Canis lupus familiaris: one gene and its partner. The protein of the gene in region 1 purifies or fractionates together with the protein of each later gene. This does not show direct contact. Links are inferred from orthologs where the notes say so. Each region holds a gene or a part of one and is shown in the gene's direction. Other genes may lie near its edges.

Region 1 (4,500 bases):
ACCTGAGGGCAGAGCTAGGACCCTGTTGACCCAAGCGGCACCTCCATGGGGTGGGCTGGATAAGCGCGATCTTTCTGTGTGTGTTGAGGTCCTACTTGTTGAATGTCCTCTGTCCTCTTCTGGGCAGGACACCAGGCACTCAACCTGCCCCCCTCCCTGCCGCCTCCACAGTGCTCACATCTCTTACAGTTACTTCTCTGTGCCTGCATTGCTTGCTCCGCAAAATGGAGAGGATAGCAGTACCCACCGCTCAGGATGGTGTGGACATTCAACACGAGCAGGCAAAGCATTTGCGTTACACACAGTGAGCATTAGATAATGGCTGCCACTCACAGGCTAAAGAATTCCAGATTCTCATCTCCACTTCTGATCTCCAGATTTGTGCCGTCCGGCCTGTTAAAGGTTTCCGACGGACCAGACTCAACGCATCCAGAGGGACCACGTTATCTCCCTTCTCTTGCTGATCTCCTGTGTACAAGCTGGGGGATGCCGCAGCGATGCCGCCGGGCCGCAACCACTCCGGCGGCGGACCCTCCACGCCCGAGTCATCCCGGACACCTTACTGTCCCTCCGCAATGTGTCGCGGTCCTAATTGATCTCCTACATTTGAATCCCCCTTCCTGACGGACAGCACCGCTGTCCTCACTCCGGCACCCCCTTCTCGTCTACATTACTTTGTCTTCTGCTTCCCTGGCGCCCACCTCGCTATCGTGCGGCTCGAGGACCGCTCTTCCCGCGACCCCCGTCCCTCCCAGGGACCGTCTCCAGCACTTGTTAGCGGTGCGAACTTGGGCGAACTGCTTCTGACCTGGGCCTCCCCGACTCCTTGTCTGTAAAGTGGGAAGGAGGGGACCTGCCCCGTGGGGTGGCCGTGCAGGTTCGGGGGCGCATCCTGCGGAGCGCTTAGACGCGGTGCCCGGGACGGGCCAGCGCTCACGGGCCGGCTGGTTACTAACATCCTAACCATTGTTGTCTCGCCTCCATTTTGTTGGTATGTTCCAGGCGCTCCCCCCACCTGGAGGACCCTTCCCCGCCCCCCCGCCCCCCCCCCCCCCCAGTGCCGAACGCCGCCTGCCGGTCCCCGGCGTTTCCCCAAGTGTGTGACCTCGGGTCGCGGCGCCTGCCCCGCGTGCGGGCGCGACTCCTCCTCCACCCGCGCGTTAACTTCTGGGGGCACCGGCCGCGGCCCCAGCGCACCGGCGAGCAGCGCGGGCGCGCGGCCCCGCAGCCCCGAGGCCCCGGCCCCGCCCGGTGCGGGGGCGGGGCCGGGCGCCGGGCGCGGGGGGGCGGGGGGCGGGGAGGGACTCTTTTTCCTCGCCGTGGCGGCGGAGGCGCACGGCGTGGGGAGCGGCGAGACGTCGTCGGAGGAAGGCTGAAAAAGCCCAAGGTGCTGCCGTTGCGAGTACAAGTGGGACCCGCCGCCGCCGGAGCCGCCCCGCGGCGATGGAGCCGGCCGCCGCGCTGCCCCCGGGCCCGCGCCCCGCGCTGCCCCTCGGCGGCCCGGGCCCGCTGGGCGAGTTCCTGCCGCCCCCCGAGTGCCCGGTCTTCGAGCCCAGCTGGGAGGAGTTCGCCGACCCCTTCGCCTTCATCCACAAGATCCGGCCCATCGCCGAGCAGACGGGGATCTGTAAGGTGCGGCCGCCGCCGGTGAGTCACGCCGGCGCCCCGGAGCCCGCTCGCGGCCCGGGCGGGGAGCGAGGACGCGCGGCCGGGGAGGCCCGGGGCGCGGGGGCGGGGGCGGCGGCAAGTTCGGGGCTGCCCCGGGGTCGGCGTCGAGGCCGCGGGCGGGGGCCGGGGCTCCTCCCGGGCGCTTCGGCGGGGCCGCCCCGCGGGCCCGGGCGGACGGGAGGGCGGCCCGGCCCGGGGGTGGGGGTTCGGGTTCGGTTCCGGGCGGCGCGGCGGCCGCGCTGGGCGCGGGGCGCTTCCTGCCGGGGGCGGCGGCGGCGGGCGGCGCGGCTCGGCGGGCCGGGGCTCGCCTCCGCCGGGTGCGGGGGTGCGCGCCGGGTGGGGGTGGGGGACTCGCGAGTTGTCGTGCGCGGACGAAAGTTTTCAATATGGCGGCGGGAGCCCCTGGTCCTTTGTGTGGCGGCGGCGGCGGCCCGGAGCGGCCCTCACCTGGGCGCCCCACCCTGCAGGCGGGGGCGCCCCCTGTCCCCCGGGCCCCGGCCTCCTGGGTCCCCCGGGCCGGGCCGCCGCAGGGGGCGCCCCGCGCTGCCGGGGGCGGGGGGGGCCGCGGGGAGGGCGCCGAGCGGCCGCTGCGGGGGCCGTAAGTGTGCGGGGGGCGCCGGGGGGGCGGGGGGCCGGCGCCGCGCGGGGGGCCCGGCTGGGGGGCGGCGGACGTGTCGGGCCCGAGGCCCGCGCCCGAGGCCGAGGTGCGCCCCGCCGGAGCCGCGAGCGGGGCGCGGGGCGCGGGGCGCGGGGGCTGCGAGCGCGGAGTCCTCGCTAACGGCTCCAACGGGCGCCGGCCTCCCGCCCCGCCCCGCCCCCACCCGGAACTGGGCGCGCGCCGACGCCCCCGCCCCCCGCCCACCTGGCGGCCCCGCGGAGCCTGAGAGCCTGAGCCTGCGGCCGGGCGGGGCGGGGGCCGCTGGGGCTGCCGTCGGAGACCCCCGCCCCCGCCCCCGCCCCCGCCCGGCTCGCCCTTTGTAGTGACACTTCAGTGGCGGGGGTCCTGCTGTCTCCCGCCTCCTTTCTCCCCCAAATTAAACGCAGGCTCCCCGCCTTGGTGGTTCTCGGACAAGTTTGAAGACGGAGATGAGATCCGTGCCCCGGAAGACGGCTGGCCCGCTCGTCCGCTCGTCCGGGGGAAACGTTTGAAAATACACCGTTTGTCTCCCGAGGTGGATCAGGCGGCCGAGGTGGCTGCCGAGGTAGCTGAGGTGGATGAGGTGGCCGAGGCTGCTGAAGGGGCCGAGGAGGCTGAGGCGGCCGCGCCGAGCTGGCCTTTCAGCCTTGCCGCGTAGCTGAGCCTGTGCCCCGCCGGGAAGGCGCCCCGAGTGTGCCGAGCACCCACAGTCCTGTGGGTTGACTCGCCTCGCCTCGCCTCGCCTCGCCTCGCGGCGGGAGGAGCCCGGGGCGCCGTCCTCGGCCTGCCTCCCGCTGCCACACGCACGCCGGCCACCATCTTGTGAGGCGAGCAGGGCGTCGAGGCCGGCGGGTGAGGGGGCGCCGGGAGGCCGCGCTGGAGACCCTCGTGCCCGGGGCTCCCGTCGTCCTTTGTGTGGCGAACTCTGTGCCGCCCGGGCAGCGCCCGTTGGAAGGAGCGCGGAAGGGATCTTCCCAGAAGTTGGAGCCCGGGAAGCGCCTCGTTGGGACGAGGGTCAGGGACCGCCCGGGGCCTGCCTCACGAGGCTGTGGGCAAGTGGCCGCAGACCCCAGGGCCCGGGAACTCCGCCGTCCGGCCTGCGGCGCCCGCGCTGCTCCGACTTGTGTGCGTGACGTCCGGAGGCGGCGGCTCCCGGGCGAGCCGGGGCCGGGGCCGGGGCCGGGGCCGGGGCCGGGGCCGGGGCCGGGGCCGGGGCCGGGGCCGGGGAGGAGCCCCGCAGCGGGTTGCGCCTGCCCTCATCTCCGTATCTTTAATTAATGGTGTTTACACACGTCGCGTCCGTGGCTGCTCTCCGTGAGGCTCCCGAACTCTCGTCCCTCTGCAAACTTGGGCTTCACGGAAATTTGTGAGGATCTAGTGAGGTAAATGCGGTGAAGGGAACACGCTCAAAAGACTTAGATCCTGAATTGAAAGTTTAAAGGGGAACATAAACGTCTTTCAGATTACATCAAGTATGTAGGACAACCAGATTTATTTCCTGGGCTTTAAAAAAAAAATTTTTTTTAAACTTACAATTAGTCCGACTTCTGGTTTTGCTGCCTTTAAAATGTACACTCTCATTTCCTCCTTGATGTGCTTAGATGTCTTTTTAAGGACAAATTTTCATCTTGCTTTGTGGTATTTGGAAATGATTAATATTAGGAGTGTAACCATTAGGCAAAAAATAGTTGGCTGCTCGGTGGATACTTTTTTGGGTCTCTCAAGTTTGATTGGAATATACTTGATGGCTTTAATGACTTTCTTTGTTGCCCTCAAACGCCTAACATTTGGCCATAGATAGGCAGATTCCACATATTTCTTCTTTGCCAGTGTCCAAAAATAAGAGATTTAAATCAAACCCCAGATGGCACAGTAAACACATTTTTTCAGCTTTAACTTTCTGTGGGTCATTATTTTGATCCCTTCATCTTTATAGCCAAAGCGAAAAACTTTCAAGTGTGTTAACACAGTCAGCGTCTTTGAGTGCGCCTGCGGGTTCTACCATTAGGAGCAGGGAGGAGCTTAAATACACGTCTTTGTCTGGTTAGAGGCGTTAATGATCTAGAGCTCCTTTACTCTCCTCCCAGCCTATCAATCTCCCTAATTTTAGGTTTGATTGACTTTGACCTAACCCTCTCTGTTGTTTTCCCAGTTCCTTTGGTGTCCTGGAGTTTTTCTCTTGATTGTGATTCTTT
Region 2 (3,798 bases), on another chromosome or scaffold:
AATTGAAACAAACAAAAAGACAAATTCAAGTATTTCTAATTGTAAGACTTTTTGCAAGAACCCGATTATAAACAGTTAAGGGTGTTTGAATGTATCTGTATCTTTTAAATCCTTCTTACCTGTAAATTTGAAGTCAGACTGTGGCCCCAACCACAGAAGCCTGAAAATCTGGAGGTGGCTCTTCATTTCAAAAAGCAGAGATGACCATTCATTCTTCTGGTTTCTTGTCACTTACTGGCCCAGAATCTGGGCCCAGTCAGCTTCCCTGTAGGTAGACCAGAGCCATACACATCCCTTGGGATTGTGGGAGGATCAACAGGAATCCTTGTGCACAAGAAGTAATGTTATGACTGTCTAGTATCCTTGAACCTAAGCAGTCCAAACACCCAGGTTCTAAAGATGTCTCCCATCTTGTTTTTAATTTTGATTAGCATTCTCCACAACCCATATTCAAAATGTGATTAATTTTGGCCGCCAAAAAGAGTAATGTACACTTTAGATTAGACTTGGAGTGATCGAAAGTGAAAAATCAGAAGTAGGCTGATTCTCAGGGCCTCTGGTAGCTAAACAGAAGATGGGGGAATTGCATGTAGGTGCAGGCTCGATGTTCAACTTTCTTGGGACCAATCTCTTTCATTAAATAAGACCCTTTTGCTGCGGTTCACTGGTTGGGGGGGAAACCGGCAAACCGTGGCATCAAGTACCAGCAGTCCAGCACCGAAGCTGAGCGCAGTGGCGCGCAGGCCTCCAAGGAGAGTGCCTCGAGCCAGGCAATCTTCGATGTTGGCTGGGAGCTGCTTAACTTCTCCGCGAACCGTGTGCGGCCACAGCCTGGAGCCTGCGTGGCTAGGGTTTGCCTCCGCGCTCTCGAATGAACCCACCAGAAACTGCGTTGGGGGCGGGGTAGTCCCAGGGGCAGCAGAGGGGTCTCCACCTGGCGGTCACAGTGGCCTCCACCTCTGGCTCGGTCTCCCCTTAACCTCCTGGTCTCTCGGATCGGCCTACCGACTCACCTGCGCTCTAGCTACCTAGCATAGGCTGGAGTGAGGTATCATCCTCCTGTAATAGCGTCCATCTCCGGACAGCCCCAGGAGGCCCGCAGGACCGGCTATTCTAAGAATACCCCCCCCCCCCGACACACACACACCTGACGGTGGCCCCCACCTCTCACCTAGAGTTCTACCTTCAGTTCGGAGGCGTCTGTTCCCCCCTCCCGCCAAGTTTCCTCAACTCCTTCCTCCTTAGTCTATTCAGACTAAACGCTTTCATTTGCTTATTCAGCATTTTTATCAGCCTGATTTTGTTGTCTGTTTGCGCTGCCGCCGGAAAGGTGTCAAACATCCATTTTCATTGTATTTAGTCACCCAGGTGCAGAGCAAGCTTGAAAGAGACAGCGGAAGAACTTTCCCGGACTGCACTGTCGCTCAGCAGCCCGCACCAATCACCACGCAGCTTGACCTCGGGCCCTCCTCTTTGAGGGCGTGTCCCTGGTGAGTGATAGACGGAGCCGCCCGGCCCAGCTCGGGCCAGCCCACGTTGCTGCTTAGATTGAAATGCAGAACTCTAGCCTCTTTCATCGGGGCACAGACTTCCTTTTACTCCTTCCTTCTGCTCTCTCGCCGCCTCCTCCCGGGAAGAAGCGGAGGCACCGGCGGTCCGGGGCAGCGGCAAGCCGGGCCACTGGGGCTGTGCGAAAAGTTTCTTTTTGGGAGTTCGGAACTGGGGCCCCTTTGGTGTACTGCTCGGAGCAATGGGTGAGTGGCGGCGGGGAACGCTGTCAGAGCCGGGGAGGGAGGGAGGGAAGGAGAAGGCGAGGGAGGGAGGGAGGGAGCGCGAGGGCGCGCACCGCTGAGCGCTCACACTCTTCTTATTGACTTTGCTCGTGTTCCTACAAGTTGTTAGGAACGCGCTAAGGGTCAGGGCGCACGGCAGTTCAGTGTGTGAACGCTGGCTACTGGGTTGCTGTTGATGCCATTTTCTGATCTTAAAACAAGGGAGCGGTGGCATCAGCAAGCCCTGTAGCCTCGGTGGCGGACCAAGTTTTGTTTCACATAAACTCACACAACTCAGAACAGGAAAAAACCAAACCAAACCAAAACAAAACAACCAAACCAACCGTAGTTTCTCCTAGACCTTGCCTAATTGCGCCGGTCCCCAGGCCGGGCGCTGGGGCTCAAGCGGTAGCGGCCCAAAGACTTTTAGCGCCGAGCAGCCGAGAAGGAGCCGGTTGCAGGCGTCAAGACTGATTTCCCCGCCTGCTTCGGAGGCTTTTGAGCACTTGGAGCGGCCTTGCTTCTCACCACTTTATTTGCTTGTAGTGGCCGCAGGCACCACCGGAACGGGGTGGGGGGAGGGAGGGAGGGTGTCCGATTCGACCTTAGTGGTTTGGGGCTGTTGGGCAAGGCTCGGGGACAGTAGGGTTTGGGAAAAGCCCAGGTTCCCCGCCGGGGGTGGGTGCATCTACCCAGCCCCCTGACGTGGGCGGAGGCCGAGTGGTAACCGGCTGTCCCAAACTGCCGGGGCGCGTCCCCGCGCGCCGCGTGTTGGTTTTGCAGAGCCAGCCTTTGGGGAGGTGAACCAGCTGGGAGGAGTATTCGTGAACGGGAGGCCGCTGCCCAACGCTATCCGGCTTCGTATCGTGGAACTGGCCCAACTGGGCATCAGACCGTGTGACATCAGCCGCCAGCTACGGGTCTCACACGGCTGCGTCAGCAAGATTCTGGCGCGCTACAACGAGACGGGCTCGATCTTGCCAGGAGCCATTGGGGGCAGCAAGCCCCGAGTTACCACCCCCACCGTGGTGAAGCACATCCGGACCTACAAGCAAAGGGATCCTGGCATCTTTGCCTGGGAAATCCGGGACCGCCTGCTGGCGGACGGCGTGTGTGACAAGTACAACGTGCCCTCGGTGAGCTCCATCAGCCGCATCCTGCGCAACAAGATCGGCAACTTGGCTCAACAGGGCCATTACGACTCGTACAAGCAGCACCAGCCGGCGCCACAGCCGGCGCTGCCCTATAACCACATCTACTCGTACCCCAGCCCCATCACGGCGGCCGCAGCTAAGGTGCCCACGCCTCCCGGGGTGCCTGCCATCCCCGGCTCGGTGGCCATGCCCCGTACCTGGCCCTCCTCCCATTCCGTCACCGACATCCTGGGCATTCGCTCTATCACCGACCAAGGTAAGGGCTCGGGGGCCGGACGTGTGGGTGTGCAGAGCCTTCCTCTGCACCCTCGCTGGTGTCTCCGTATCTGCGGCCTCGGGGCCCGCGCCTATCCCACCACCTGAGGCTTTTTCCTTTCGAAACGAAGGAGTCCTCCCAGGGGGTGTCCTGATCTCATTAACTTGAAATTCATGCCCTCTGTTTCCTTGCCACACACAGTCTCCTGCCTCATCTCAAACTACCAGACCCATAACATCCCCCCATCCCCAACACATGGTTCGCATTTTCCACCCTCCCCCGCCTCTCGCGCCGCGGCAGCCTTAGACCCGCTCGCTCGCTTGGAGAGCGCGGCCCGGGTCGGACTTGGGGCGCAGCCCGGGAGGCCTGAGCCGGCGTGGGGCTGCTGGCTGCAGACACCGCTGCGGGCGGCTTGTTTGGGGATCAGATGCGGCCGCGAGGAGTCGGGCACCCTGTGGAAATTGCAGTATTCTTGGATTCTGGCAATCAGGCCAAATTTGCTCAGGCAGGAAGTTCAAATGTCACCTAATTGGTTTCATTCTTATGCTTCACTTCATTTTCCTCGGAAACGGAGGTCCCCAAGTTACTACTAGTAACTTGCATGTTGCTGCATTGC

What was found.
Region 2: the proteins of KDM5B (region 1) and PAX9 purify together in Homo sapiens (affinity purification with western blotting, with the first as the bait; 3 studies listed by BioGRID). This does not show direct contact. The link is inferred for Canis lupus familiaris from reciprocal best matches to the Homo sapiens genes KDM5B and PAX9.

Annotation. Positions count from the first base shown.
Region 1 is NC_049228.1:463,362-467,861, forward strand, and holds the start of KDM5B (lysine-specific demethylase 5B), read left to right. Parts: upstream 1-1,428; 5' UTR 1,429-1,443; coding exon 1,444-1,647; intron 1,648-3,547; exon of another isoform or gene 3,548-3,687; intron 3,688-4,500. UniProt on the Homo sapiens protein: Histone demethylase that demethylates 'Lys-4' of histone H3, thereby playing a central role in histone code. Does not demethylate histone H3 'Lys-9' or H3 'Lys-27'. Demethylates trimethylated, dimethylated and monomethylated H3 'Lys-4'.
Region 2 is NC_049229.1:15,387,312-15,391,109, forward strand, and holds part of PAX9 (paired box protein Pax-9), read left to right. Parts: intron 1-119; exon of another isoform or gene 120-601; intron 602-1,360; 5' UTR 1,361-1,750; coding exon 1,751-1,754; intron 1,755-2,555; coding exon 2,556-3,182; intron 3,183-3,798. UniProt on the Homo sapiens protein: Transcription factor required for normal development of thymus, parathyroid glands, ultimobranchial bodies, teeth, skeletal elements of skull and larynx as well as distal limbs.